Linked DNA regions of Schizosaccharomyces pombe. The protein of the gene in region 2 interacts with the protein of the main gene of each other region in a pairwise test. Each region holds a gene or a part of one and is shown on either strand. Other genes may lie near its edges. The genes, in order: rga4, rho2 and rga6.

What was found.
Region 1: the proteins of rho2 (region 2) and rga4 interact in a two-hybrid assay, tested with the Schizosaccharomyces pombe proteins (one study listed by BioGRID).
Region 3: the proteins of rho2 (region 2) and rga6 interact in a two-hybrid assay, tested with the Schizosaccharomyces pombe proteins (one study listed by BioGRID).

The regions. Positions count from the first base shown.
Region 1 is NC_003423.3:1,835,387-1,846,412, reverse strand, and holds rga4 (Rho-type GTPase-activating protein Rga4), read right to left. Parts: upstream 6,998-11,026; 5' UTR 6,791-6,997; coding exon 6,704-6,790; exon of another isoform or gene 6,567-6,703; coding exon 6,511-6,566; exon of another isoform or gene 6,369-6,510; coding exon 6,019-6,368; exon of another isoform or gene 5,956-6,018; coding exon 3,647-5,955; 3' UTR 3,226-3,646; downstream 1-3,225. Other genes in the region: U3 snoRNP-associated protein Esf2, read right to left, coding at 247-1,251; protein Cbp7, read right to left, coding at 1,882-2,952; SPOM_SPBC28E12.02 (BICC1 family RNA-binding protein), read right to left, coding at 8,095-10,086. UniProt on the Schizosaccharomyces pombe protein: GTPase-activating protein for Rho-type proteins.
Region 2 is NC_003424.3:4,419,156-4,428,378, reverse strand, and holds rho2 (Rho family GTPase Rho2), read right to left. Parts: upstream 5,689-9,223; 5' UTR 5,378-5,688; coding exon 5,352-5,377; intron 5,268-5,351; coding exon 5,189-5,267; intron 5,073-5,188; coding exon 5,067-5,072; intron 5,014-5,066; coding exon 4,975-5,013; intron 4,863-4,974; coding exon 4,822-4,862; intron 4,754-4,821; coding exon 4,735-4,753; exon of another isoform or gene 4,687-4,734; coding exon 4,594-4,686; exon of another isoform or gene 4,550-4,593; coding exon 4,415-4,549; exon of another isoform or gene 4,368-4,414; coding exon 4,203-4,367; 3' UTR 3,733-4,202; downstream 1-3,732. Other genes in the region: dihydroorotase Ura2, read left to right, coding at 1-664; srp2 (guard protein for 5'-capping of pre-mRNAs Srp2/Npl3), read left to right, coding at 1,414-1,456, 1,501-1,586, 1,643-1,679, 1,720-1,725, 1,778-1,802, 1,852-1,920, 2,111-2,180, 2,269-2,342 and 2 more; protein nst1, read left to right, coding at 6,168-9,223. UniProt on the Schizosaccharomyces pombe protein: Involved in cell morphogenesis, the maintenance of growth direction, control of polarity and of cell wall integrity. Regulates the synthesis of alpha-D-glucan through activation of pck2.
Region 3 is NC_003423.3:576,188-586,611, reverse strand, and holds rga6 (Rho-type GTPase-activating protein Rga6), read right to left. Parts: upstream 5,468-10,424; 5' UTR 5,366-5,467; coding exon 3,164-5,365; 3' UTR 2,819-3,163; downstream 1-2,818. Other genes in the region: fap1 (L-pipecolate oxidase), read right to left, coding at 1-69; protein Vac8, read left to right, coding at 703-730, 776-858, 921-1,041, 1,201-1,560, 1,677-2,570, 2,652-2,818; glyceraldehyde 3-phosphate dehydrogenase Gpd3, read right to left, coding at 6,874-7,881.

The DNA.
Region 1 (11,026 bases), on a different chromosome or scaffold from region 2:
AGAATAATGAAAAATTTTTACACCTAGTTTGGTAACGATGCTTGTAGGGCTAACAAATATTTTAAAATATTAGTAACCATTCTCTTTGTTGGAAGAATAAAAAGATGTAAAACGTCTAAATGAAAATGCATATAACTCACCAAAATATTATTAACCTAAACCCTTAAATTTCAACTCAAACTATAATACAATAATAAAGAAAGGAATTGTAGTTTTCGAAGACTACAAGATCACAAATGAAAAGCATTAAAAAACCCTCCGCAAAACGTTTTCAACTTTCTGCTGCTTGGCATTGTCTGTGGGCATATTACGATTACTGACAATGCTTTTTTGACCAAAGAAGCGGCGGGCTTGCTTGCTTGGCTTAGTATCTTCTGATAAGTCTTTTGTTTCTTCAGGAAACTCTGTAGAGACATTGAGTGTATCTCTTTCACTTCGCTTTTTACGAATACCTTCAATCATTTTGGCATTTTCAACATTTCTCATATATTGTTTTAACTGCTTGCGACCCTGCTCAATTTCAACCTTCAGGCGAGATTCACGGGCGGCATTCTCAGCAGCAATTTGTTCAGTGAGATGATGCCATTTAAACTTAGGAAGATATTTCATGTTCCATATATCATCGTGATACCAACTGCTCTTTTTACCACCAATTTGATTTGTATTAAGCAATTCTGCAACTGATTTGGCAACGCGTTTGCTTTCAAATTCAATCCAACCTTCTTCATACATTACTCTTTTATTTCCGCCATTTCTCAGCCTTTGTGCCCTCTTAGCTGATGACTCAGGTGTTAAATATACCCTTCCAATTTTTCCATACTGAGAAAGAATTTGTCTAAGCTTGTTTGGTGCCATGTAAGGAGGGATACGAGAAAGATATATAACTCCTGAACGCTTAATAGCTTTTCTTTGCTTTTCAACTTCTTCAAGTGATATTTTTTTTATAGAATTTGCATTTTTTGTGGTCTCCTCATCCAGCTCATTTTCAGAGCCGCCTGAAAAGTCTTCATGGTCTGAAGTTTCAGACTCGAACGTGGAATCTCTCCGGAAGCGATCAAGATGGGCATCTCGTTCCTCAAGCTCATCGGCGGAGCTTTCAGATTTGACCTTTAAAACGTCTACAACTGGTTTTGTTGATCTTGAGGAACGAATAGCTTTTAAAAATCGTTCATCTTCTTCATCTTCACTCAAATCTTGGTCAACGTACTTCTCTTCTTCTTCGGCCCCAAATAATTGTTCAGCTGTAGACATATTTGGCTAATGATTTGCTTGTTGGTTTACTTTTCAATCTAAAAGTTAAGAAGTAATCTTTTAAAGAAATTCTATGCCACAACAACTTAATCTTCGAAACGCCTAAATTGTAGAAATGAAAACTTCTATACACTCGAGTTTCATGAATTTCAAGTGACAATAAATTGTTACCTAAAAAGGAAAACCGTGAAAAAAGATGAGAATGAAATGATTTTAGTAATATTTTATGTTATTTATAACTAACATTTTTCAAGTTAATGATCTATGATCAATAAAAAGGTAATAGAGGCTGTTTGCAATCTCAACAAAGTATAGGTGTTCAAATTATTTGAAAGATGAGTGAATCCTCGAAGATAAACAAAGGAGTGACTAAGAATGAAACATCATGGGGGAGTGGTTATAATTGACAATGCTTTATCTGAGATACAGTAGTCTTCAGTAGCTTTTGGATCAGGCTAAGAATTAAATTTAGCGATATTTTATCCCTAGATTTCTTTTGCTTTTTCTTTTTAACATAAAAAATTGAAAACAACCTTCTCTCGAAATTATGGTGAATTTATTAGAACGGATTGAACAGTTAAATTACCAGTAGATGGAATATGTTCGGTCAATTTTTCACCTCATATCAAATCAAAGCACTAATTTGGATACATCCTTATCAAAATATTCCTTTTCAAGATGAGCAAGACGCTTTCTTGAAATTATGCTATGAAACGACTGTTTATCGGGCTGAAACACTTTAGCATAAGGCGAATCACAAGTATAACAAGTTTGCTTTAAGAATGTAAATAGAGAATCATTACTGTCAATATGCTTTAAAGCGAACTTCAGTAACTCCTTAACATGAAGCAATCTTTCCCTAGGATCGAAATAAACTTGAGGACCAATATTAAAAAATTTGCATGCTTGATTTTCAGAGCTTTGAAGTAACAAGTGGGGAGAAAAAAATGATTTATCAAGAATATGGAAATATGGTAATTTAGAAAGTACTTCGATCCACGCATTCGCAGCTTTTTGCCTGAGTAATGGAGTAGGAAAAATTTGAATTAAAAAAGCCATAGAGTCACATAACTGTGCAGAAAGCATCTGTGAAAAATTTGAAAAATTTACATAGTCCCTTTCAAAGGAACCCATCAAGTCAAGTAAAGGGGACCTTTGGTTTAACGGAAACTGTTTACAGGCTCTAGCTACCGTACACTTCTCCAAAGGTGTACGAGGAAGTTTGCTAAGGTTGAGACGATAACTGAAAGAATCACTAATTAAATTAAATGGAAAAGATTTGAATAGAGTTTGGAACCTGCCAAGGTATATTCGCGGTCTGGTTTCAGTCTTTGGAAATAAACTGTAGCAATCCTCCCACAAGGAAACACTTTGATTTAAAAGTACAATGGTACTAGTTTCATCAAGACAGCTTCCAAATCTTTTCAAAAGGCTCCTTGTTTTGGTGATTTTAGAGTCCACAAGTAGGCATTCTATATGTTTGGGCTTTTGACTTCGAAGAAGAATGTTGTCAACTCGTTTAGGAATTGCAGATGAATTTTTTTTATAAACAATCGCCTTTGGCTCTAGCATTTTGCTGTGCAGCTTACAATGGGTTAGGATAACCGGTCTTTGGTCAACTGGTTTTTTTATTTGAGACTTTGCGACGAACCAGCCGGCTTCAGTCGGGCCCAAAATGCATCGTTTAATAACATCTGCCATTAGTAAAATTCCGTAATTTTGTTCACATAGATAATAAAATATCCTGCTTAAAGACCCTCTTTTCTCAAAAAAAAGTGGTAGTAAAACAGGAGTTGGTTTTTTGTTAGACGTTCGAAACTCTATTTAACCCCCTTCAAAAAATTTACCATATAACGTATATAATTTTTGTTTATAGGAATTGCTTTTGGTTTTTTAGAATTCCATTAAGATAATGGGCATGATATATCTACAAAATCACTTACTCACAATACGTTGCACTAGCATTTCCTAAGTTAGGGATCTTGGGAAAAAATGCTTCTTTAAATCCTTGAAAGCATAATAAAATTAAAAAAAAATACAAATTTCTCCTTTTTTATACATGCAATTGCATTTTATTCATAGCCTAGCATTGTGAGTAATGCCAAGTAGACTAAAACAGGGAAATGATTAAATAAAAGCGATGGATGTCAGTCTGCAGTGATAATGCATTATGAAGAAGCTATACGCCAAATCCATAAAACACTCATCTGCCACTGATTTCACGATGACATCTAAAAATGACCAAAAATGAAACTATCTTAGCAAATGCAAAAAGGAATCTCGATATAACTGCCCAAAGTTATGGTACAACTACTAAAACAACAAAAAAAGACGAATAAAGAATATAAAGGAACGTGCAAAACAAAAGAGCGAATTATTAAAGGATAGTGTGAATTTAGGCAAAGACTTCATGTACATGATCTATCAAAAACGCAAGACTGTAATTCTTAACAGTCATGTCAATAACGTCTCTGGAATTATCGGGGTCGCGTATTAATGTTGGGGAAAATACTACTGCAAGGTTCTTGGATGTCATTCGATTTGCATGACTATATGCAGCAACCCTTGCTAAATGTCTAATAATGAGCTGCAAAATTTCAGCATGAGCTGGAGGAAGACTTTTGATGACCATTATAAAACCGTCTAATTTATCTTGGAAAGAGGCACAATTTGCTGCTGTGATGAACGGAAAGTATTGGTCATAGGTAATAATTGGATTAGGAAGGTTGCGAAGATATTGCTTGAATACAGAAGTGACAGCAGAAATATCCTCACTTGGATCAAGTACCGTATCTTCATTTCTTAGTAACGCAACAATTTTTTTCATTTGAGAAGTTGCCCCTGATTTGCGATACAGACCTTCAAAATCCATGCCGTATGACTCGATAAAATTTATACAAGAAACGATAAGCGTCGGGACTCTCAAGAGTGTTAGCCTGTTTTGATCGAAGTCGTCAGGATTCAAAGCCCAAACAGGAGATTCGCTTTTTTTAGATTGATACTGACGATCTATAGTAGAACTAACGCAATCCTGATAATGTGCTCTAAGCTCATTGGAGTATTTACCGCAAAGTTTGCAGTGACCGACCGCTGGAACGAAATCCTCTTGTTCTTCAGAAGCTAAATGTTCTTCAGAAATACTGGGAGTACTCGACATGTGAGGAGAATCTCTTTTCCAATGAAACCGTTTAGAAAATGACTTCTTAAGATCTATTTTAGAGTTCCGTTTGTTATACCCTCCACTCTCCTTGTCTTTATTGTCTTTGGGTCTAAATCCAAGGCTAGATGCAACCATTTGTAGACGCGAAAACGATTCTCGCGGAGACGGGGTTGAAATCGTTCGGTTGGATTTTTTATCATTATTAAATATTCCGAAAGAGGAAGAAGTTCGCTTCTTATGCTGCTGCTCCCTCAAGTATGCCAATTCTCTCTCCAATTGATTGTTAAGGCTTACCAGTTCTGTGTTCTTAACATTCAGATATGCGGTTTCTTCCATTACAGTGCTGTAAGCGTTTTGCAATTTAGAGACAGTCGTAGACAAAGCGTCTCGCCTCAAAAGTAAGGTAGACAGTTCAGGTTGAAAAGATTTCCGTAAATAATCTAATCTATAATTTAAATCTGCAACCAACTCTTGCTTGAAAGCTTCGGGGGACACGGGAGTCTGCTGCTCTATGATAGAAGCCAACGAAGTCGCTTCCAACAATAAGGTTCCAACCTCAGCTTGAAGCTCTGAAATACGAATGGCGAGTTCATTTGCGCTTTCCTCTGTAGCATCAAATACGTTTGAAGTAAACACATCACTTGCTCTAACCAAAGAACTTCGATTGTATTCAGGTTCACATGCTTGATGCAAACTAACTTGCGACAAATTTAAACTTTTGGCCCGCGGGGAAGCCTCATAATTTGAAGAGTTCGTCAATCTTTTCTTCAAGCCGTTTGGTTCGCTACTAAGTCGTTTGTCATCTAACTTATTAAATACCGTAGGATATCTAGGAAATCTAGCCTTTGTAGGAGTTTCGTCGCTTTCCAATCCGTTAACGTAATATTCGTCAAGATTAGATAAACTGTTTCGATTTCTAGGAACCTTTAAATTACATTTATTTGTGACATCACGAAGAGCACCCCTTAAATGGATAGGAGATAGAGCTATTCTGCCAGACACATATCCATATTTAGATGGTGATGTTGTTGTCGAAACAGATTTGTAATTCATAGTAGAAGAGCGGCGAAGTGGAGGAGGATTAACAACGCTTTCATTTTTAGGAAGTTGAGGAAGCGTACCATTTTCGGTTGGTGATTGAACAAAGGCGTGATAAGCAACAGGTTGCTGCACGCTATTATTATTTACTACTGAGCTTTGCCTTGAAGAAACTGGTTCAATTGGTATCGAACTTCCAGAATGAAAAGAGTCACACGAATCAAATGGAGAGGCATTAGCTGAACGAAATGAGGGACCATTAGCTAGTGGAGAGGGAGAGGTTTTAACGAAAGAATTTTTGGGTTTAAGTAAGAAGTCCTTTTGGATGTCTTTGTAAGATTTTGCGGAGTTTATATCACCAGGTGTTTCATAACCATTAGTTTGAACTTTTAATTGAGGACGGAGAGAGTTTGTAGGAGAGCTGGTATTTTGCATTCGACCAGATAATACGGAGGATGGAGAATCAGACGCTATAAAATGCGGGTTTTGAAAGCCTTGGTTTTGCCCTAAAATTAAAGTTAGAAACATAAAGACAATATCAATAAATACTACATAAGCAACAAACTTACCAGTTAAAGAAGTGTTTTCCGCAGTTTGTGCGATATTCCTAAGAGGAATAAACCCTGATGCGCTTTCCATAACAGCCTTTTGATTCTCTTCATCTTGTTTACGCAAACAAGGAAGGCAGTAATGTTGACCTTTGAACTTGCCAAAAGCATTTGAATTAATGAAAGCTCGACAATTGGAGCAACAAGGATGATTAGCTTGACTATTGCTTACTGCGTTGAACTCGCAAATAGGAGTTGAGCAACCGTTGCAGATATCAACACATAATTTACAGAATATTTGCTTTTGATCGTCTTGAGAAAAATCTTCAGAGGAAGGGTCTAATTTTTTGTTGCAGTTCACACATTTAAAACTAGCAAACCGTCTTAATTAGTAAATCAAAACAACAAGAAGCACAAACAAGGGTAATCTTTGGAGCATTTTATATTTTTTTATTCAATCTATAAGAAAAAAAAAAGATCCAAAAATCCCAACGTTTGCATTTTCAATCATACCAATCGGAATGCCAACATTTCCCACCGAACCAAACTTGAGAGGTACTGGGAACACTCTAGAGCAAAAGTTAGTAAATGCCGTTCATTACAGCTGGGAAAAAATAAAAGAGCAGTGTCCAATTTCAAGACAGGGTCTCGTTTTGTGAAAAGACCGCTCTCCGGACACGGCGATTAAATTTTGAACCTCACATACTTCCCAACATTTAATACAAAAACAAGTACGTTCGGATGGCGTCTCCAAACTAAGTCTGTCCAGATGAAGTGTCGTACCCGAATTCATAAGGAAATCAATATTCTGAAAATTAAAAGAAAGGTGTTTCCCAAGAGAATGGATAGGTAAATTACACCAGCTCAAAAAATGAGCGGCAGCTAAGATAGAAAACTCTTTACGGTTTTATTCAAAGTTTGTTCTTGATTAAAAAATAAATAAAAATACCAAGGCTTTACAACATTTGCTAGCTCTTTTAAACTCGTAGCCGTTTGTGGTGGAGGTCAAAGAATAGGACCTTTGTTTATATAGAAGGCTACACTGGCATTTGTTCCTTTTGTTACCGCTATGGCTTTGCAGCGAATAAACCACCAGGTTTCGATCTAGCTATTATTAATATTTGCTTATTTTCCAGATTCTTTCTATATCGTTTCCTTATGTTTCATACTTTGTGTAAGTGATGGTTGCTTCCTTCATATTATTTTGAGATTTTGAAACATTTAAAATGATATTGCTTATACAAATTTATCGAGATTTATTGTACGACTAAAAATGAACTATACAACATTCCCCCTGTTCATCTTTCGTTAGTGTTATTAGCAATCCTGTCAGCGAGAACGAAGTATTGCTCGACTCTTGAGAAAAAATAAGAGTGGCTTGTTTCTGTGCTACTTGATTAGTTCGTTCAGTTAAGCGTAATATAATTTGTATAAAAAAAACCGAAGAAACCCAATAACCGCAAAGGGTGCATTACGGTTCACACGTCTTTTTTTATAGTCGAACGACGTCTTTATGTTTAACAACTCTTGTGTAATCCCTTTTTGTTTCTTTAATTTACTAATTTAATCATCATGCATTCCAAAGAAAGTGGATGGATTAACTCAATATCGTTTTCTCATCAAATACGATTCTAATTAACTGGTCAAAGAGTGTTAGATGTCACAGCGTATAGCAAGTTGATTAATAACGGTTAGTGCCAGTTTCTACTTCTTTTTACTGAAAAGATGTTTGTTGTTATTATATCAATCTAGCTGTGTTTATCGACGTTTTATCTTTTGTTTTCAATGACAATTTATTAACAAAATAAGAAATAAAAAAGGCATACGAACAGTGGTTGCCGTCCTGCACAAATCGTTGAACTGCTTAAAGTTTAAACTTGTCATGTGCTTCAAAATTCTGCGTGGATCACGTTCATTAAATTATATTGTGCACTTAAGATGTGTATCAAAGTTGATACAGTGGAGCACTTTTGATTTTCAAAAAATTTAGTTTCCGAATTTAATAACCAGCTTGAGTGTCTGTTATGGACATAAAAAATATAACGAGAAAGTGTGGTGATCTATGGGCAGGTCGATGACTGGATTCTGACTTAAAATTCAATTAGCAAACAAATACTTCGGGATGTCGTATCCTAATCCTTCAGCTGTCTTAATGAATAAAGATCGGACGGCCCACAAATTTTCGGAGAACTTTGATGGTGTGCGAATGAGCACGTTGTGCCCGTAACAGTCAAAAGGAGTAGTTGAGAATTCAATGTAACTATTATAAAGTTTAGTTACACGTTGGATTTGCTCTCCTCGAAATCCAATGAGTTTTTTGTGAATCTCCTCTGGAACGTAAAAGTGCATCTCAGCTGGAAATTCAAGCAACATTGTGTTCATTCCTTTAATTACTCTTTCCAATTCGTCACTATATATATCAACCGTGAATATACTCGTCGACTGGGGACAAAACAAGATGTCCCCATTCTTTAAGTTGAAACGGCATTGCTGCTTTACCTTATCCAGTTTTCCATTTTTTTTACCGGATATGAAATCTTGATCCTTGGTTGGGGCTTCAAGCAGTATCTGGTGCCATTGGGATTGTCCAAATTTATAAAATATTTTGCTTGCTTTATCCATTGCTATAGGCACGGTGTTTTCTTGTCCGAAATATTCAATCCCATTGGTTTTTAGGAGCATTTCGACTCCAGAAGCCATGCAAATTATTGCAATTTGAGCTACAAATTCTGTTGGTGGAATACTTAGCTTCTTAAGAGGAGAGAATGACATTTTTTCTCCTATTCCATTTGTTTCCACTATGGAGCCAGTCGAGGATACAATAGAGGACAATTCAGAGCTTGAAACTCCTTTTTCAATTGTAGACGCTCTTCTCCAAGAACCAGCAACTCTCAGAAAGTCTTCGTTGTCTTCAACTCCAAACTGAGTTTTTCCTTGTACATATTTACTTGCAAGCTTTGCCAATCGGAGTGCTGTTTTTTCAGAATTCGCTATAGAAGATGAGTAGATTTTGACTTTTGAATTTTCTGGGCTCGTTTCTCCTCCTTCTTTGAAATACTCAGGAAAGCGAATAAACGAAGAATTTTCTTCCATAATAAGCCGAAGCTCATCCATTTCGTAAGCGAGAAATTCGAAAAGCTTAACAAATGAAATTTCTGTTACGTGAGTAAACAGTTTTAGATGTTCTTCTGCGTAATAAAACGCCTCTTCGAGTCTTTGCAATTTTTCCTCTTCTCCTGTAATAATTATTTTACTTGAGTTTAAGGCGGGTAAGGTTTGAAGCCGAGGGATTGAGTCGCTGCAAAACGGTAATGTATAAATATTAATTGATTCAGTAGCCTTCATTCCGGCAGTACTAGAAAATGCTTTTCCAACGAGAATTGGCTGAAAAGATACAGAAGTTGCAATAGCTACTACCGATAATCCTCTGATTTCATCCATTAATGCTAATACGCGAATTCTAGCATGTTCAACGCTGCAATAGTCACCATAAAAGACAATAAAAAAAGAATTCTCTGCGTTCTTTTGACATGAAAATTCATGCCTAGTAGACTCTAAATGCCTTTGGTAGAAGCTTTGTTGTTCATTTAATCGATTGCTGAATCCGCTGTCAGTACGTAGCTGAAAATCGATATCATGACACATGGAACGATGCATGATATAAATTTTTGCTCCCGTTATTTCCGTTATTTTGTCCAAATGTTTCATAGTGTCTTCATAAACGTACCCATCTTCATCAAAAAGGAGGTTTTCGAGGGGTTCTTCGAGCACAAGTTTGCTGATTAGAATTTTGGGAATGGCTTGCAAAATCTTTATTTTTGCAGTGTACACATTTTTATAATTTCCTGAAACAGTAACCACTAGTTCATTGCGGGAAGATGATATGCTCATTCCTTTATGTTTGACATGTAGTTTTATATTAACTGGCAACTCTTTTTCTGTCTCAATGCACTTTTCTTCGGTTAATCTCCTAATTTGAGAGTAAATATCGCTTTCATAATAGTCACATTTACTAGCATAAAGGGATGCCTCTTCGGGAGGAGGTGTAGATGGATCAGGAATTGGAAATGCTAAAACATGAGAATCCATTTTGGTGATTTTAAGCACAAAATTTTCTTATTGTTAAATCGTTTGATTGGAAATTTCGAAGCTTAGTGAAGAGTAAGTTTTTCGTGTTCGAAAGAAAGATTAAAAGAAATCCAAAGGAATGATAAACGATATAGGTTTGAATACAAAATTATTCCGAAAGTTACTTCTGAAGGGTTGGTTGTTGGTTGTGTTGTTGCTTCCGTGAAAGTTATTGTTTAGCTTCCAAATGTAAATAAACAATGAATAAATCTTGGAATTGATATGCGATTGGCAATGAATGATAGCTTAAACTTTAATTTTTTGCTGAAAAATAAACAGAACGTTTTCGCAGAACGATGTGTATTGTACTAGTTTGACTGTGGAATACAAGTTTGTTTATGCAAAGGTAGACACATATATATATACAGCACATGACTCTAAGGTGATGCACTAATGACTAGGAATACTTTTAACATAACCATCACAATTTTGTATTCTTTTTACTAATTAGGATGGCTGATTTATGATCTGCCAAAGCCTCTTTAACTCAAAACAGTATATGATTTGCCATTGACATTTTTTCAGAAAAGGGGGAATATGATTATATGATTGTGAAATATACGCTTAATTTTTCATTATAACTCTGTCAGTATTGCTAGGGTTTTGGACACAATCATAGCTTAAGTAAAACATTGCACTATTAGTGTCATTCTTTGAAATTTGTAAGCTAAGCAAGCACATATATTTACCTTATTTATCAAGAAAAATAACATGCCAATAGGAATAAATAGATTAAGAGACGAAGGTTTTGAGAAGAATAGTAGCAAACCACCTAACTGATTTTTATTTCTACTTAAAAGTTCATAGAATTATGTGAATAAGAAATTAATCTAGAATTCTTATAATTGATTTTCATGGAAAGATCTCCCTCCCCCCAACTAGTAGACTTTGCTGCTAAATG
Region 2 (9,223 bases):
TACCTTTGCTGCAATGCAAGAAACAGGTATGATTCTGAACATTCACGGAGAAGTTCCCCCCTCTAAGGATAACACCGTTTTTACGGCTGAGCCCAAGTTTCTTCCTACTTTACTAGACCTTCACCAAAGATTTCCAAAACTCAAGATTGTGCTTGAACATTGCACCACTGCCGACGCTGTTGAGGCAGTAAAAGCATGCGGTGAAAGTGTTGCGGGTACTATAACTGCCCATCATCTTTATCTCACACAAAAAGATTGGCAGGATGATCCTTATTGTTTCTGCAAGCCGGTAGCCAAAACCGAACGAGACCGACGTGCTCTTATTGAAGCTGCTACCAGTAAAAATCCCAAGTTTTTCTTTGGGAGTGATTCTGCACCTCATCCTAGGTCTTCTAAACTGAAGACGCCACCGGCAGCTGGTGTTTTTACCCAACCTTTCGCTGCTTCGTACTTAGCTGAAGTGTTTGATAAAGAGGGTCGTTTAGATGCTTTGAAGGATTTTGCATGTATTTTTGGTAGGAAATTTTATTGTATTCCTTTAGACTTCAAAGAGTCTAATATCGTCTTAAAAAAGGAGTCGTTTCGCGTACCTGAAAGTGTTGCCAATGATTTGGTTCCTTTTCATCCAAACGAAGTTCTTCAATGGCACTGTTCATGGGAGTAATTCAGTACATGTTGATTATGTGTTTTTTTTTCTATCTATTTTTTTGAACTTGTCGGCTTTTATGTTTTGGATTTACGAATTTTTAAATAACATTTGAAGTTAATTGGGTTAATCATTATGCGTCGGCGAATGCAAACATTGCGTGTCATCTGGCAAGAGTCTTTTCAGAATTCCAAAATTTTCGTAAAGTTTTTCATCCAGATAGAGAACTGGTGAATGAGCAGAAACTTGTTTTCATTATCTCAAATTCGGATTATTCATTGAAGTTTACTAAAATACTTTATAGTTATTTATAATTAATATAGAAAAAGAAAATTATACGTATAAGAACCTACGTACATGACTGTAAAGACAACAGTTACTTCTTGAAGTTGCATCTTGACTACTAGATATCCTAGCTCCTTAATCATGATTAATTAAACTTACAGTATCCCGTCGATGAAATTATCATCGCCATCTTGATCCATTAATTAATTATTATCTAACCTTCTTAATCATTTCAATAGACACTCTGAAGTATGGTTGATAGTTACTCAGATTTCATTTATACAATATTAGGAAAAAGTGTGGACCGATGAATGCATAAAATCGTTAGACAAGGTTTGATTAACACCATCTCTTTTAATTTGATTTTATATTTTATTTCATTATCTTATATTTTGTAACTTGGGTTTCGCCGGCCTTCAGCCTCAAGACTGCCGACTGAGGGTCGAACTTCACCCAGCAAGAACCAACTACACCAAAAAAAAATGTCGGAGACTAGATTGTTTGTTGGCCGTATTCCTCCTCAAGGTTTGTAACTAAATAATGTAAATAGTATTTTAACAAAAATTTAGCGACTCGCGAGGATATGATGGATTTTTTTAAAGGTTACGGTCAAATCCTTGATTGCAAGCTGATGAATGGATTTGGCTTTGTTGAGGTAAATAAAACCATTAGCCTTCTTTTTGTAATCCCTATGTGACTAACTTGATGTAGGTTGAAGACGCTCGCGATGCTCGTGATATCGTAAATGGTACGTTCATACCATCTTAAAACTTTTGCTAACAGTTTAGACTTTCGTATGCTTCAAAGGTTTAATATTCGACTTTATTTACTAATCTTATAAAAAAGAGGGCAAAGAGTTTATGGGCAGCCGGTAAGTCAATACATTATGAATTTAGATTAAAATATGCTAATGTTCGAAGTATTGTTGTAGAACCTGCTCGCGGTGAAAGAAGAAGAAGAGAGAACTTTAGAGAAAGTGCTGCTTCTAAGTACGTTGTTACGTTTCCATTAATATGTGATTAGTGGGCGATTTGGCATTGCACGCGATTGCTGGTTCTAACGATTTTGTTCACTTCACATGTGAATCAGCTCTGAGTAGTGACTATATACGGTGTTATCGCTTGCAAAATCGCATTGTCCTATAAAAATTACGGCAATATTTTTATACTAACGTATCAGATACCCCCGTCCCCGTCGCACCGGTTTCCGTTTGATTGTGGAAAATCTCTCAGAAGATGTCAGTTGGCAGGTAAGACAATTTTATACATTTAATGACCTTTGCGTCAATGCATGATTTTTTTCATATATCTATATTTCAGTGTTAACACTTTTCATAGGACCTGAAGGATGTAATGCGTAAAGCTGGTGAACCCACTTTCACAGATGCTCACCGTGAAAACCCTGGTGCTGGGTAAGTTTCTACTTTGATCATTTTTTCACCTAACTTTAATGCAGTGTTGTTGAATTTTCTACTGAAGAGGATATGAGAAACGCTTTGACGAGCCTTAATGGTGAAGTCATTAAAGGCCAAGCAGTTACTTTACGCGAAGACCCTGTAAGCATCTAATCTTTTTTAAAGATCCTTGCGTAAATTTTCTAACGATTAGCAGGATGCCGCTAATGAGCCCCTTCCCGAAGTACCCTCCCGCTTCCGTTCACGTTCTCCACCTGCTCGCCGTCGTTATCGTGATGATTATCGTAGAGGAGGCGATTACCGTCGTGACGCTTATCGTCCCGGCAGAGATGATGAACGTCGTTATGCTCCTCGTGGTGAATACAGGCGTAATAATCGTGATGAATACCGTCGTGGTGGTCGCGATGAGTATAGACGTAATTCCAGAAGTGATTATCGTCGTCCTCATGATGATGAGTATCGTCGTCCTAGAGGTGATGAATATCGCCCTGGACGAGACGAATACCGTCGTTCTCGTGATGATGGACGCCCTTCCCATGATGATGAGTATCGACGTGACGCTTATAGCCGTAGTCCTTCTCCTAGACGTGATAGAGAAGAGAATCGCTCCCCTGCCTATGAAGGTTCCAAATCCTATTCAGCTGCTCCTGAAGCATCAATGGAGTCATCTGCTCCCACTGAATCATATGACAAACCTGCTGCTTCGGAAGAACAACAGCCTTTGCAAAACCATTCTGATGTAGGTAACGGTAGCGCTGAAGGACAGGTCGCTGCTGAATGGTAAACATAGAAATTTTTCCTTTGGTAAACTATTTTTTAGTGTCTGCTTACTAGATTTTCCTGTCATATGTCTGTGGTCTTAATATCCTTTGTCTGTGATGTATTTGAGTATGAATTTATCTCTCTTTATTGGCGATTTCCTTTCTTACGATCAAGAATGAAAGGAATGTGTAATTTTTAGTGTAGTTCCGGATTTTTGCCGCGTATTTGTCATTCTTTATCATTTGGATGGATTTTGGTTGTTTTTTTTTGGTTGTTGTTCTTAATGAAGTGAACGCCCGAAGAAAAGTTAGTTGTTGGAGTATGGGTGTTTAAAGGGTATATAATTTCACATAGTTGTTTGATGAGAGTGACCACTTTAACTCTTGCCAGTCTTGATTTCCAACCCATTAATGCCCAGAAAAAAATAGGCTCGAAACTTTAGTAGGTGATAAATTTTGATATGGTTGTATACCTTTGGCGGTGTCTTAATATTTAGCTTAAATGAGCCAGAATTTTGAATTTGACCGCCCCATAAAATTACTTAGCGAAGTGAGCCTACGTATTAAATGTATCAATAAGGAAAACTGACATTTTCTATTAGCCTAAGAGAACAAAAGCATATGTACATATATGAATTTTGTACTTCATAATGAGCGCAAGCGGCAGTTCTAAAAATAAAGTCCTATGATCTTTTAAACAAAAAGTAGTTTTCATGAGGACAATAGATGCTGAAAAAGAATGAAAGATGTTTAAGAGTAAAAAAAAAAGGTAATAATAACTGAATGCGGTTTGCTTAATGAAATGAAAAAGGAGGCTAGTGTCGTTCGACCGATGCGTGAAGATTATAATGATGAAAATAATAATAATACTCCTGAGTCTCAAAATAAAATAGGAACTAAATTTGAGGTATAGGGGAGAAAAAGAAAAAAGTAAACGACAGAAGTGAAAGTGAAAACGAAATGAAACAACGGCAAAGAACAAATGCGAAGAAAAGCAAAAAAGTCTATCAGCTTTTTGTAAATGTAGGTCGCATAAACTGATAGGCTTTCCTATAAACTGAAACATGAATGTTTGCAATCGTTAGGATATTAGTAATTATGAAATGATGCAGCATTTTGTAGAACTCTTGTCATTTTCCGAATCCCGAACTGTTAGTGCTGCCCTAGTAGCAGCTTCAAATACATCGTCCACGCCGTCACCAGTCAATGAAGAACATTCCATATACTTTCTCGCACCAATCCGCTGAGCTACTAATTCAGCCTGATATCAAGAATTAGTATTCACGTGTTTGAATTATTAATATATACCTGTTGTGATTTTACAAAATTTTGATTTCGACGTCGCATTTCTTCAATAGCAACGGGATCTGACCTTAAGTCGGCTTTCATGCCCACTAAAATAAACGGAACATTTGGGCAAAGTGTATTAATTTCCTCAATCCACTATATAATGTTAATGACTGGAAAAAACAATTAATGAAACGAACCTTCGTAGAAACATTTTCAAGTGAATCAGGAGAGTCTATCGCAAACCCAACCAAAATAATGTGTGCTTTAGCGTAAGACATTGGTCTTAATCTCTGCATTGGGTTAACGACGTATTTCTCACTATTAATAACGAAACAAACCTCATATTCCTCTTGACCTCTAAAACAAGAATTAGTATGCAGGAATACATAACATATAGTTTTAACATCAGAAAAAAAAGTACTTACGCGGTATCCCACAATGCCAGTTGAACTGATTTTCCATCAACCTATTTTAGTTAGTATCAAATGTATTAGCAAAACCCAAAGAAAAGGGACCAGTGGGAAAGTAACTTTCTGTAACCAACTGAAAAAGCTCAATAACTTGTTAATCACACATACTCGACAATCTGAAACATAGTTTTCAAACACAGTCGGAACCTATAGTAACTGTTATTAAAAAACTCTACGAAATAAAGAGAAAAAAGCATTACATATTCCTATCGCCAGTAAGTTAGTAAATAAATAAATAAATAAGGTAGAAAAGACAATAAGTATTTGCGTATCGTGCAATATGCGATAAGCCAAAGCTCACTTTTATGACATCTGTACTTACAGTAGGAAAATATCCCAAAGTGAAAACGGATAACAAAGACGTCTTCCCGCAGGCACCATCGCCTACAACTACTAGTTTCCTTAAAAATATTAATATTTAAAGAAAATGAATTTGAGTAGAAGAAATAAAAGAAGCAAAAAGATATTAGGCCATAGAATCGTACCTTCTAATCGGTTGAGATTGCAACATGTACTTTTTAATAGGGAGCGGATTAAACACTGTATGAGGTTTTTTCTATGCAAATTTTTCTTAAAGAATGATTCACTGCAGATCAGACAACCAAAATTTCCCGGTTCGAAAAGCTGTAAAAATTAAACCAAATAGGTGTGAATTTTTGAAATATAAGAAATGAGTAAGCGATTGTCGAAATAGTCAAATGAAGCGATTAGCCAAACGTCCAAGCCTTTCAATTAGAGCAACGAAAAGTAGTATATGCACAAAAATTAGCTTCTCAAAGAGTATTTGTTCAAGAAATGTGGTTTTGGTGACATTTATCCCATGCGGATTATAGACACTTTTGGTGTTAAGTATCGTAAATTCAATTTATTGGAATCGTACGCTTCCTTATTGCACCTTAACATGCCTTAAAGAACTAATTTTGCACGTTAAGATGCATTAAATATGATAAAACGCCATTTGCCGTTTGGCTTTATTCACCACATTCTGCAAAGCAGCAATTGAACTAGTTAAATCCAAAAATCTTTGTGATTTGGATCATCTGGGTTGAAATCCCTAAGAAGATATACTATTTCAAGTACTTTGGGGTATACTGTTTTTGAATATTGAACTAAGAAAAGGTGGGCAGTTCGGCATTTAAGAATTTTAGGGATTACCCTTAAAACATTGCCAACGCAGACCCGTGAGCTACAATTTGAATAAAAAAAATAATTTAAATTATTTTTTTTTTAAATCGTTAGTTTCATATTTTAAGCTCATAAAAAAAGAGGCGTTGTTGGTAGGCGATTTTTAAAAAGAAAACATGAATGATAAAGCTCTTCGCACCGAAGCACTCAGTGTAGGGTTAGAACCTCCAAGTTTCAAGGATCTTCTTATACCTATTCCCAACTCTGGTACAAAGAAAAAGAATAAAAAGAAGAAAAAACCGAAAGCCAAGAAAAATGTCGAGACTCAAGCAAACGTGGATTTGCTTGGGTCGGCAGGGACCGATTCTGCAGTTACAGACGTTGGCGCGAATAATGGTGTCATAGATCATCAAGCGTCTTTGGAACTTTCAAATTTGAATTCTCGTATTTCTCATCCGCAGCTGGTCTCGGCAAATGGTGATGATTCATCGTTGATTAACGTCGAAGGAATATCTTCGACGGATTGGCAATTCACTCTTGAATCTGACGATACCATAGAACATTCTCCCCAATGTATTCTTTCTACCTCCAGTTTCGTGGATGAAGCCGAGTTTCCAGTTCATATACCTGGTTTGGAAGACGCGACGTCGTCCAATATGTCACCGAACTCCGTTCAAAATAATATGAATTTGAATACAGTAGCGTTAGGTTCGTCAACTTCATCTAAACGGAAAAAGAAAAAGAAGAAGAAGTCAAAAGCAAATAGTGCATCGTTGAATGTGGATGATCAAAGAGATTTTGAACAAGTTTATTCTACGGACGTTGCTATTACTTATAGGAATGGGCAAGCGCTTTCTTATTACAACGGTTCTGTGCGTCAAGCCAGTATGAATAATAACGTTAACAATAATAAATCCAAAGATATTTGGAGCAGTTCGAATACTGAGGAGCGGGAGCAAATTCGGGAATTTTGGCTTTCCTTAAGTGAAAGTGAACGCAGGTCGTTAGTTAAAGTCGAAAAAGAAGCTGTTTTGCAAAAAATGAAAGAGCAACAAAAATACTCATGCTCTTGTTCGGTGTGTGGAAGGAAACGTTTAGCAATTGAGGAAGAGTTGGAAGTACTGTATGATGCTTACTATGAAGAATTAGAACAATATGCTAATATTCAACGTAACCTTGCAAATACCGAGTCTGTAAACGCTTCAGACGAAGGTTCAGACAAGTCCCAGAAAGGAATCATCTCCGATTCACCTAAGCTTTTATCGATTCCTCTGAACAACGTACCATCAAAATCTCTCAATGATGATATAACCCAAGACGAGTTGAATTCTTCAAATGCTGATGTTGATGAAGAAGTCATTGAAACTACTAGCTTGGAGGAAAAAAACGTGGATAATCAAGAATTCGTCACTTCTATAAGCAACGGAAATCAGACATTGGAAGACACTTCACATTCCCCTCAAACACAGCCTCCTTTTCAGCCTCCTTATCCCTCTAAAGCAGATGAGAAAAATAGCTATCATTCTGATCTTTATAACTTCGGGAGTAGTTTAACGGTGAAAGGAGGTATCTTAACGGTAGCGGATGACCTATTGAAGAATGATGGGAAGAAGTTTATAGAAATGATGGAACAGTTAGCTGAGCGTCGTATGCAGCGTGAAGATAATAGCAATTTTCACGAACCAGAGTTATACGAAAGCGGGTTGGAATATGACGAAGATGAAGAAGAAGACGAAGAAGATGTAGATGAGGACGAGTTAGATCTAATGACCGATGAACAAAGGATGGAAGAAGGACGCAGGATGTTCCAAATTTTTGCTGCCCGTTTATTTGAGCAACGTGTGTTGCAAGCTTATCGTGAGAAAGTTGCTCAACAACGGCAAGCTAAACTTTTAGAAGAGATTGAGGAGGAGAACAAACGCAAACAGGAACGTGAGCTCAAAAAAATAAGAGAGAAGGAGAAAAAGAGGGATAAAAAGAAGCAATTGAAATTGGCGAAGGAGGAAGAGCGTCAAAGACGCGAAGCTGAGCGTCTTGCTGAACAGGCTGCTCAAAAAGCATTGGAAGCTAAAAGACAGGAAGAAGCTCGCAAGAAACGGGAAGAGCAACGTTTGAAGCGTGAGCAGGAGAAAAAGCAGCAAGAACTTGAGCGTCAGAAAAGAGAGGAAAAGCAAAAGCAGAAGGAAAGAGAGAAGAAACTGAAGAAGCAGCAACAAGAGGCTGACCGTGAAAAAATGGCGAGAGAACAACGACTAAGAGAAGAAGAAGAAAAACGTATTTTGGAAGAAAGGAAGCGAAGGGAAAAATTAGACAAAGAAGAAGAGGAACGTCGGCGTCGTGAGTTACTTGAAAAAGAATCAGAAGAGAAAGAAAGGAGATTAAGAGAAGCTAAGATCGCTGCTTTCTTTGCACCTAATCAGACTAAAGAGGGTTCTGATGGTTGTACTACTTCTTCTCAACTTGGCCTTTTTGAAAAAAAAGGCGATCTCGTAAACGATGAGGATAAGCTTTCTTCACATCTCCTAGATTCTGTACCTAATGCTTTGCGGCAAGCTCCCATAGGCCTTAAGAACACAAATAATTTATCGGAGCGCAATGCTTCTTCTAATCTGCTTAATTCTTCGTTATTTTCATCTTTTAATTCCGTCAACCCTTTAATTTCTCTTGAGCCTAATCCTTTAAATAGAACACTTAATAATTCCGTAAACTTAACTGATTTTGGTAGAAAGCCAAATGGTTTACATTCTCCATCTTCACTCCTAAGTAATTCCAACAATTTTGGATTAAATCCAAATGCTCGGCATTCTCTTAGTAGAGCCAATTCACCGGTGCATCATTATCCTTTTGCAACACCTCCTTCTCAACGTGCTAATAAATATCCATTGAATAATGGAGCAAACGTACCAGCTTTGCTTAATTCATTTTCAAGTCCACAATTAAGTCCTCTAGTAAATAGAGTTTTGAACGAGCCGTCTAGTTCCCCTTTATCGTCCTCAAGTTTGAAATCCCCGTTATCCAAGGAAGGCGTCTTAAATCAACAAGGACATGAGCAGTATAACTTCTCACTGTCACCATCTATCCGAAATAAGCTATCTCCTATTTGTCGTCCTAGTCAAGGGAGTTCTCCTAAGCTGAAGAATAATTTGTCCAACACAGAGGAAAGGATGGGTAGTCGTGCACTATTAGATGACAAAACAGATTCTGTTATCACAGCTTCTAATTCAACCACTTC
Region 3 (10,424 bases), on a different chromosome or scaffold from region 2:
CAACTCTAAAGCTGCAGATAATCCAAACACACCTGCACCAACAATGATTACGCTAGTATTCTTTACCATTCTTAATCCCAAAAATATTACAGATGCGGTTTAAATTAAATTTTAAAAGGTGGTTTAGCAGTCGGGCTTAATATATATTATCAGTACTCATTGCCAGCTACTAGTACTCCAAGATAAGGTGCTGTCTAGCGAAGTCAGGCATCGATATCGCAAAATCACAGTCTGTTGATACTTCTGATGTTAGCAGTAGTTCTTTTGATACAGAGTTAGTCACTTAGAAAGAATGAAAATAAATCAACTAAGCGAGTCTGATTTGAGCCGTGCAGAGGGAATGTGCCAATTTGCTAGCACAGGTCATGCCGAGTTATCAAAATCAACTATGGTCCAAAACAACCGGGTGTTTATTTAAAAATTATATTTTAGTCTTTATTTAAATGAACAATATCTTTTATTTTCACTCTATAGGAAAAATACTCTTCGCACTTGTCTTGTTTACATTTTAATTCTCCGAAACTCCACTTCGTTAACTAGCTTTGCGAGGTTTTGGGATTTTATAAGTTTGTTTATTGTACACTGTAAGTAACGTTATAAATGGATAACACAGCAACCCTGTTTTGCTAACTGTCCTTGCAATTTGCTTTTACTGTCACTTAACTTCCTCCAAACACTAAACAATCATATAAACAAAGTCAGATGGGCAATTGCTTGTCTTGTTGTGAGAGTATGAGTGCTTCTTTAAATCAAAAACTTATTAACAAATACATAGAATCAAAAGATGAACAGTATGAGCCTCTTTTGGCCGATCGGGAGAGGGAAGCTGTTGCGGATTTATTAAGCTTTCTTGAAGATGTTAGTGAATGTCGATTACTTTAAATTCTTACCTTCTCTTGACTAACGTTATCTTGTTGTAGAGAAATGAAGTCAACTTTTACAGCGAGGAGCCCTTACGTGCTTTAACCATTTTGGCATACTCCGATAACCTTGATCTACAGCGTTCAGCAGCGCTTGCGTTTGCAGAAATTACTGAAAAAGGTAATGACATAAAAACAATAGTTTTGGTTTAAACAATTCCCAACTTCGGAAATGAACAATGAGGTCTTGATTTAACAAAACGGAAAGAATATATATATTGTGTTATCAACTTTCTTTCTTTGTTTTTTTTACAGTGATTGACTAACACACTTTTTTTAGATGTTCGAGAAGTTGATCGTGAAACTATAGAGCCCGTCTTGTTTTTACTCCAGAGTCCTGATGCTGAAATACAGAGAGCTGCCAGCGTTGCTTTAGGAAACCTTGCTGTAAATGCCGAGAATAAGGCCTTGGTCGTCAAATTGAATGGATTAGACCTTTTAATTCGTCAAATGATGTCTCCTCACGTTGAAGTCCAATGCAATGCTGTCGGTTGCATTACTAATTTAGCTACCCTTGACGAAAATAAATCAAAAATAGCTCATTCTGGTGCCTTGGGCCCTCTTACCCGTCTTGCCAAAAGCAAGGACATTAGAGTTCAAAGAAATGCAACTGGAGCATTGTTAAACATGACTCACTCATGTAAGTTATACATTTGTCGCTAATTATTTGTTAATCTATTGAGCTTTGTTTTGAGCAAAAAGTTTCAATTAGTGGTTGTCTCATAATCTATGGATATCAACTAACTATGATACTAGATGAAAATCGACAGCAACTTGTCAGCGCTGGTACTATCCCAGTGCTAGTATCTTTGCTTCCTAGCTCTGACACTGACGTTCAATACTATTGTACTACTTCTATTAGTAATATTGCTGTTGATGCAGTACACCGTAAAAGACTTGCCCAAAGTGAGCCGAAACTCGTTCGTTCTCTTATTCAATTAATGGATACTTCAAGTCCTAAAGTCCAGTGCCAAGCTGCTTTAGCATTAAGAAACCTTGCCTCTGATGAGCGTTATCAAATAGAAATTGTTCAAAGCAATGCCCTACCCTCTTTATTAAGATTGCTTCGTTCTTCCTACCTTCCTTTAATACTTGCTTCCGTTGCCTGTATCCGTAACATTTCTATACATCCTTTAAATGAGTCTCCGATAATTGATGCTGGTTTTCTTCGTCCGTTGGTGGATTTATTATCTTGTACGGAAAATGAAGAAATACAGTGTCATGCTGTTTCTACCTTACGAAACTTAGCTGCTAGCTCGGAGAGAAATAAGCGCGCTATTATCGAAGCTAATGCTATTCAAAAACTTCGCTGTTTAATTTTAGATGCTCCTGTTAGCGTGCAAAGTGAAATGACTGCCTGTCTAGCCGTTCTTGCTTTAAGTGACGAATTCAAGTCGTATCTTCTTAACTTTGGTATTTGTAATGTTTTAATCCCATTGACAGACTCTATGTCGATTGAAGTCCAAGGCAACTCTGCGGCTGCTCTGGGTAATCTTTCTTCTAATGTCGATGATTATAGCCGGTTCATAGAGTGTTGGGATTCTCCAGCTGGTGGCATTCATGGTTATCTGGTCAGGTTTTTAAGTAGTGAAGATTCTACTTTTGCCCATATTGCTGCTTGGACCATTGTACAATTACTAGAGGCTGGTGGTAAGTTTTTTTTAGAGAATTTATTGACGATTTTGTCTACACACGATATACGGAATATATTCTTTAGCTAACTCATTATAGTTCCACGTTTAACTGCATTTATACAATCTAGCGACGATATCATCGAATTACTTAATGACATAGTTGCTAGAGATGCTAATAATGGAGAGTATGAAGATGGTGAAGGCGATGTTATATTATTATCTGGCCGGGCATTGCATTTAATTGAACAGGACACAGATTCTTAATTTTTATTTTTATTGGCACATTATATTACCCTTCATCTCTTTATATTTTTACCGTCTCAACCCCGTTTGCCAGTTCGGAAGTCTATTTGACTTAATGACATGAATCACATTTTATTAATGATTAGTTTTTTAGAAGATGATAAAAGTTCGTCCGTAGTTGATTCCAAATAATAAACTTATCCCTTCAACACCTGAATAAAACATGTGACATGGAAAAACTAACATGCATATCTTAATAAATACTACTATGAAACCAAAAAATATCAAAATGAACCTAAACTTTAAGAGCAAACAAATGGTTGTAATATATGATAAATAAATGACACCGAAAACAGAAATCCTTTCTTAAGATTTCTTCTTGTTTGATCGGAATTTACCAAACAGTTTTGTCCACAAACTGACCCTTGGAGATGCCTTTTTATTAATCTTCTGCGATTTTTTATTGGTTTCCGAAGAAGCAGTAACAGTGACCGGTGACTTTGCGACGATCGGTTTTGTATTGTTCACGAATGGCGGTGATGTGCGAGTTGACGGTTTACTATCTGTAGCAGCTGAAATAACCGACCGCGATGAAATGTTATTAGCAAAACTCATGGAAGGAACAGCAGTATCAGAAACGGTGGAAATCTTAGGCTGGGGCTGTTGATTGTCAACAACGACTTTGGTACTCTCATTTGCTACAGCATCATCATTTTCTTGGTTACCCGATTCATTATCGGAAGAGTCATTGATTAAAGGAAGCTTCGAGATATGCTTAACATTAGGATAACTTTCCTCAGATGCATTCACATTTTCAGGTATCTGTTCTGGAGAATCTTCTTTCGGGACTGCAGGAGTAAAAATAGCAACTTGGTCAGTTAACCCAACATCAGAAAAACAATTGGGTATGTCGAGAGAATTGATTTTAAGTAGTACCTCTGGCCAGTGAATAATCAGTCCCTCTACAATCTTGGCTTCAACTCTAGCCTTTTCGGTTTCAAATCTCATAAGGTCATTCACATTTCCAGAAGGACAAGATTTCGAAAGATCAGTAGAAGAGTTACCCAACAATAAAGGACCAAAAATAATACCAAGGGCTTCCGGCTTCATCAAAGTAGAGTCTTTGGTATTTTCCATTCCATTTTCCAACTCTTGAGTCCGTGTAGCTATTTGATGCAATAATGCTAGTAGAGAGCAAAGGATAGAAAAGCGCACGTAAGAATCTATTTGTGAAAAGCAAAGAGCGGCCATTTCATTCCGGATGTCTATAGGAACCTTTACTCTACTTGAATCAACGTATAATGGTACTAAAAGATTCAATATATCTTTATGCGTAAAAAGGCCACCTGGCAATAACATAATGTACCGTTTTAAGACAGCTGCTATATCGATATAACTTGGAAATCCAATACGCTTAAAAATTTCTGATGTTTCATCAAGCCAAAAATGAGGTGGAGAATAAAAGTATTCTGTGATTGCTTTTATTACGGGACCAGAACCACTAATGCGGAAAATTCCCGGTACATGCAAAGCATTTAAAGATAGAAAATGTACGCATTGAGCAAAAATATGTGGGAGCAACAAAGAAGGAGGTGCACATTCAGGAGTGGGAAATGTAAATTTGCAAAGATTTGTGGGATCTGACGTTAAATCGCCGATAGGTTTACCAAATACGGAAGGATTATGAGCAATTGCATTATGTTGATGTGCATTACGATGAGGAAATTTAAAATAATTCGTTAAAGAACGACGATGCAAGCCAGTGGACTGACGTTTTGGAGAGTAAGTAAGAGAGGGGCGGCGGAGGATAGAGGACCAAGATCCCTTGGAAGGGCTTCGCTTTGGAGAATCTTGAGAGGCATTGAACTGTCTTTGAGAGCCAAATGAAGATGGTGGGTATTGGAGAGGTTCCAACGTATCTGATGAGGATAGTTGATTCGTAGCCGACAAGGAGGGAGAATCTTGTGAAGTTTGTAACTCGTGTGAAAGGGAGCTTAGATTTAGGGATGACCTCCCTAGAGGACCATTGTTTGAAGGTTTATCAAACCGAACTTCTGATACTGCGCTTTCTTGAAGGTAAAAGCTAACATGTTCTAGGGAGGACGGAGTATCTCTCTCTTCCAATAGTGTCGAGTGTATCAGCTTAGTAGGGGATCCACATGGAGTGAAATATTTATCAGTATGAGCATCTGGAGGTGAAGAACTTTTGGATTCATTAAATACGCTATCGTCGGAGTACAGAGATTGTTTAACCTCTTTTATCTGGGAAACGTACTCCTCGAGATTAATTTCGTGTATGTTGTAAGTCTGAGCTAGCTCACGAAAGCGTGACAAGCACGAATTTTGCTTAGTAAAGAAAGGAGCTTGCTGTCCCTCCAAATTGCTTGCAGATGATGAAATTGATGTGGAAAGGCCATTTTCCACTTTCGCTAACGATCCTCCCACCTCTAGCGACGGTTCTTCGAAACGTTTCTCATCGGTCTGCGCATTGCTAGACAAGACGACATCCTTGTGCTCTTTCAGGTCCCCAAGAGTTCCATTGTTGAGAGTCGAAGGATTTAAGGTCATACTTCTCCCAACAATTTCAAATTTTACTACACGAGGTTTTCGAGGCCCGTAAAAGCTATAAACCTCAATATATACTCTCCACTGATAGAATTTTGAAATAAATGTCGATTAGAGAGACGTTGGCTTTGGTAAGAACCGTTCTACATCCGTTACTTACTAAGAGGTTCAGCCAAGTAGCAGGCGTTGAAAAGTAGAGTACGAGCCGAAGCGAAAGATAGGTGAACAAGTAGTCACATATTGAACGAACCAAAAACTCATCTTCTACACGGACTATTGTAATTTAAGGAAAGACAGCAGCTTTCAAACTCCCATGGTGCAGTTACTAATGGAAGTATTCCACTGAGAAATCTGAGAAGCAATCTTATTATTAGTTCGTAAGGAATTCAAATGTTTGGCACCAAAGCAGATATTGTTACTATATGAATTGATAATTTAAATAACAATCTCATGCTTAAACACACTTTCAAGCTATTGGAACATGAGACACAAGTATAAACAGTTCCATAGATGAGCCTCGCAATCGAGCGATTGTTTCTCGCTTAGATATAACTGTATTTTTTATGAGGGTACATGTGACTAGCAATGCGGTATCAAAAAACCAAAGGACAAAATACAAAAAACAGGATTAGCTGTTATCCAGAAAAGAATCAAATGCAAGCATGAAATTTTTTGAATAATTTTCTGAAGCACAAACAGCTCTAAGTATCAAACATTAAGAGTTGCGAGAACCGCCTAAATGGAACACTCGCTTTCATCATCATACTTGATGGTCTGAGATTGATCTGGAAAGTGGAGTGAACGAACACTAAGAATGAAAATGCTAAATTTAAATTGCTATCTATTAATATATAATTTTTCTTATCGTTTGACTTACACTTCCATTCTAGAAACTTGCAAATAGGGGCAGTAAAGATAGGCAGCAGAGGCCCTCAAAAGGACTGAAAAATTATTTACTTCACCCAAAAAAGCGTGGGCCAAGTTTATGGAAACATCTTAGCGAATATCTATCATCAAGACGAAAACAATTATCTCAAATGCAAACGGTAATAGAATGCTAACAAGCAACTATGATAACTATATAATGCTTTATAAATCAGTCTACCTTTTTTACCTCCAATAAACTACCACATTTCAAATCAAAATTTTCATACACCACATACTTTACGGATTTTTTACACATTAAAAACAAGTGAAGAAAAAACAATTCATTTAAAATTATATCTTAATCTATTTCGTAGAAAGGTCGTCAGCTATAGAGATCGCCCTAGGAGCGCAATCAAAATGATAACGTGGAATAAAAGAGGAAAATCTCATACATGTCTATCATTATCGTAGCAAACCCCAGAAAAGGAAAAGGGGGAAAACAAGCATAAGAATAAAAAACCAAAAGTTCGCACATATGTAAGACCCCCCAAAACCGAACGCATGTTCAGTTGAATAGCTTGGAGTTTAACAACGGCTGATTAGAGAGATATAGATTGACGACGGAATAAATCGAAAGAAGCAATCTAATCCTTGGAAGCAGTGTAGGCAACCAAGTCAACAACACGGTGGGAGTAACCCCATTCGTTATCGTACCAAGAGACGAGCTTGACGAATTGAGGAGAAAGTTGGATACCGGCAGAGGCATCGAAGATGGAGGAGTGGTTGTCACCACAGAAGTCGGTGGAGACAACAGAGTCCTCGGTGTAACCCAACACACCCTTCATGGGACCCTCAGAGGCAGCCTTGATAGCAGCCTTGATGTCCTCGTAGTTGGTAGGCTTGGCCAACTTGACGGTCAAGTCAACAACGGAAACATCGGGGGTAGGGACACGGAAAGCCATACCGGTAAGCTTACCGTTAAGAGCGGGAATAACCTTACCGACGGCCTTGGCGGCACCAGTGGAGGAGGGGATGATGTTGGCGCTGGCGCCACGACCACCACGCCAGTCCTTCTTAGAGGGACCGTCAACGGTCTTTTGGGTGGCAGTGGTAGCGTGAACAGTGGTCATGAGACCCTCTTCAATACCGAAGGTGTCGTTGATGACCTTGGCAAGGGGAGCCAAACAGTTGGTGGTGCAAGAGGCGTTGGAGATAACCTTCTCGGAGGGGTTGAACTTCTCCAAGTTAACACCGACGACGAACATGGGAGCATCCTTGGAAGGAGCAGAGATGATGACACGCTTGGCACCACCCTTCAAGTGAGCAGAGGCAGTCTCCTTGGTAGTGAAGACACCAGTGGACTCAATAACGTACTCAGCACCAGAGGCAGACCACTTGATGTTGGCGGGGTCACGCTCGTTGTGGACATCGATGGAGTGACCGTCGATGACAAGCTTGCCACCCTTGGTCTCAACGGAGCCCTCAAAGCGACCGTGGGTAGAGTCGTACTTGAACATATATGCCATGTAGTCAAGATCGATGAAAGGATCGTTGACAGCGACAACTTGGATCTTGCCAGTGAGGATGGCGTTACGGAGGACGATACGGCCAATACGACCGAAACCGTTGATACCAACTTTAGGAATTGCCATTGTTATCTGAAAAGAGTTAGTAAGAAGAAGAGATCAAAGAGGAGAGAAAAAGGCAAAAAGAAGCGAGAGAGGGAAGAAAGCGAAGAGAAGAAGAAGAAGAAACGATGAGCGTCATTAAAAGAAAAGATATCATTATTGAGAGAAGAATAGAAAAGAAAGTATACTAAAAACAGCAGCTTTGTCGCTTTCGGCAAGTCTATTTTAATTTCTGACCAAACTGCCGTCAAGCGAAAAATAAAGCCTTCTTTACCGAAAGAAACGGAAACTAACGAATCTTATCACGACTTCGTTGTACAATTTCACCATACTGGATATGACATGTTTTCGTCATGTCAAGTAAAATCAGAGAGCCTCTTCTCTTGGCAATCTCACTGACCATTTTCATTTCAATTCATCGCTCAAAATCCATCTTTTTCAACTAAAAGAGAATATCAAAAGAAAATATCCCTTCCTTTTCCTCAATCTATTTTTCCCTCTTGGCAGGTGTTTGACACATGTCACATGTCTCACCAAGCCAATGCTTTGCCAATGCCACAGCGCATCACATACCTAATTAATTCGATTGCTATTTCTCAAAACCAAACAAGTACTATTGCTGATTTCTTGATACTACAAAGAAGCAGACTGGCCTACCACTCCTATTTATATTGTATGTGTTTACGCTAGAGTTGTCATGCCAACGACGGTATCGTAAGCGGCGATTTCCGTGTTCGGTACTTGGCAGATCGGATAATGAAATTAGCGGCCTTCTAGATAACTTCCCATGCGAATATTTTTGGCTCATAATCATACAACAATCGACGCATTGCGTTGACCTTTCCCTCGCCTCGCTTGACAGGAACGAGAGAGGCAAGGATGGAATGGCATGGAATGGATGAGTTGGGATGGCGGTGGAAAAGAAAAAGAAATGTAAACAATGAGTGTAGAGGAAAGAAGAAGAGAAGAGAATAGCATAGCATAGCATAGCATAGTAATCAAGAGGACAAGTGGGAGAAATGAGACAAGTGGTAAATCCAAGTCAACTGTGAAATTTCGAATGCAATTGGATTCAATCCATTTCTATTGATTCTATAAAAATGTTCATTTACTTCACTATTCATCGACTCACTTCACTAATAGTCATCGAGTATATCTGCTGTGTGTGTCAGTCTCGTCCCTTCCATCATCCATCAATCCGCCCTTGGAATGGCGTTTCCAATGCCTAGATGGAATGGAATGTTTAGAGGGTTGGCCCAGTTAGCTGTTGTTAGGCTGACGATTCTTGCATTGAATTGCATGATTTTGTTTGACCGTGCTAACAGGGCTATTAGCAAGGCTCATGGCATCCCAGCGGCTCCTCGGGAATAACGAGGTGCAAAGTCTCGTTAACATCATCTGTTTGTGAGGGAGGATGGAGGAGGGTAGGAGGGTAGGAGGGTAGCGAAAAGGTAGGAAGGGAGCGGGTTAGACGTGGAACATGAAGGAGAAGACATAGAATAACAAGGAGAAGATATAGAACAATTGTTTACAGTGCACAGTTTGGAAAAGAGATTCAGTTGGAAAAGGAAAATCGTTGATGTTGAGATTGTTATTGTATAAAGTTTTTGCTTTCTATTGACATCTCTCATTTACCTACTACCACTTTCCACTCCTTTTTCTCTCTCTCTCTCCCCCCCTACTTTATCGAGTTCAACAATACTCTGCTGTCCGACTATACTGAACTACGACGCTTTGCACTATGTTCCTCTGCGCTTGACTGCCCAGGACGTTCCTTCGGTTAATCGTAAGCTGTTTCTTCGGAAAAAATTGATCGGCAGTTGGGACAATTTGAGTTTCCGGGGCGGTTACAAGGTCTTGTGATGGTTGGCGGATTCGGATTGAAAGAACCCTAATTCACCTTCTAGAGAAACCTTATGTGAATGAGCTGACGAATCAACCATCGACGAGGATCCTTTCAAGGTCCGGGATGCGCTCATCCTCAAGTCCATACTGGTTCCGAGAGTTTCTATTGCGTCACTTTTTATGTAGGCGAAATTAATTTTGGCGGGCCACCGTCCGATAAGAAAGGAAAAGGAACCGAAGGAAGCAGGAGGAAGCAGCTGAAACAGCGCGAGACTCACATACAGAGAGTGAGGAATAACACAGTAATGCAACGTAAAAACAAAGCCATCAAAAAAGAACTTTGCTCTATGGAAACACACTGTAAGCAATGGAAACCCAGAATTGTTGTCTTCATAAAGGTCAATGAGTAACACAAAAAAATATGAGTTTTTAATCAATTGACTACTTCAATCCATTCTTTCTTCATTCAATTCCCATTCCCATTCCCTTCAAACGGCCGAACTAGTTTCTTCCTTGTCCTCCATAACGAGCAGTGTCAACAACGTGCACTATCCTAACGTAGAGTGTCATTCTTTCCAAAACATTTTAGCACATTGCGTTACCTCATGCATCACAGTAATGGGGTCCAGCTCGCTTGCTAATTTACCCATTCTCCTTGCAATCCACCCCGCACTACACTATGCAACATACCGTGTTTCACCGTCGTCTCTCCATATTCGCTT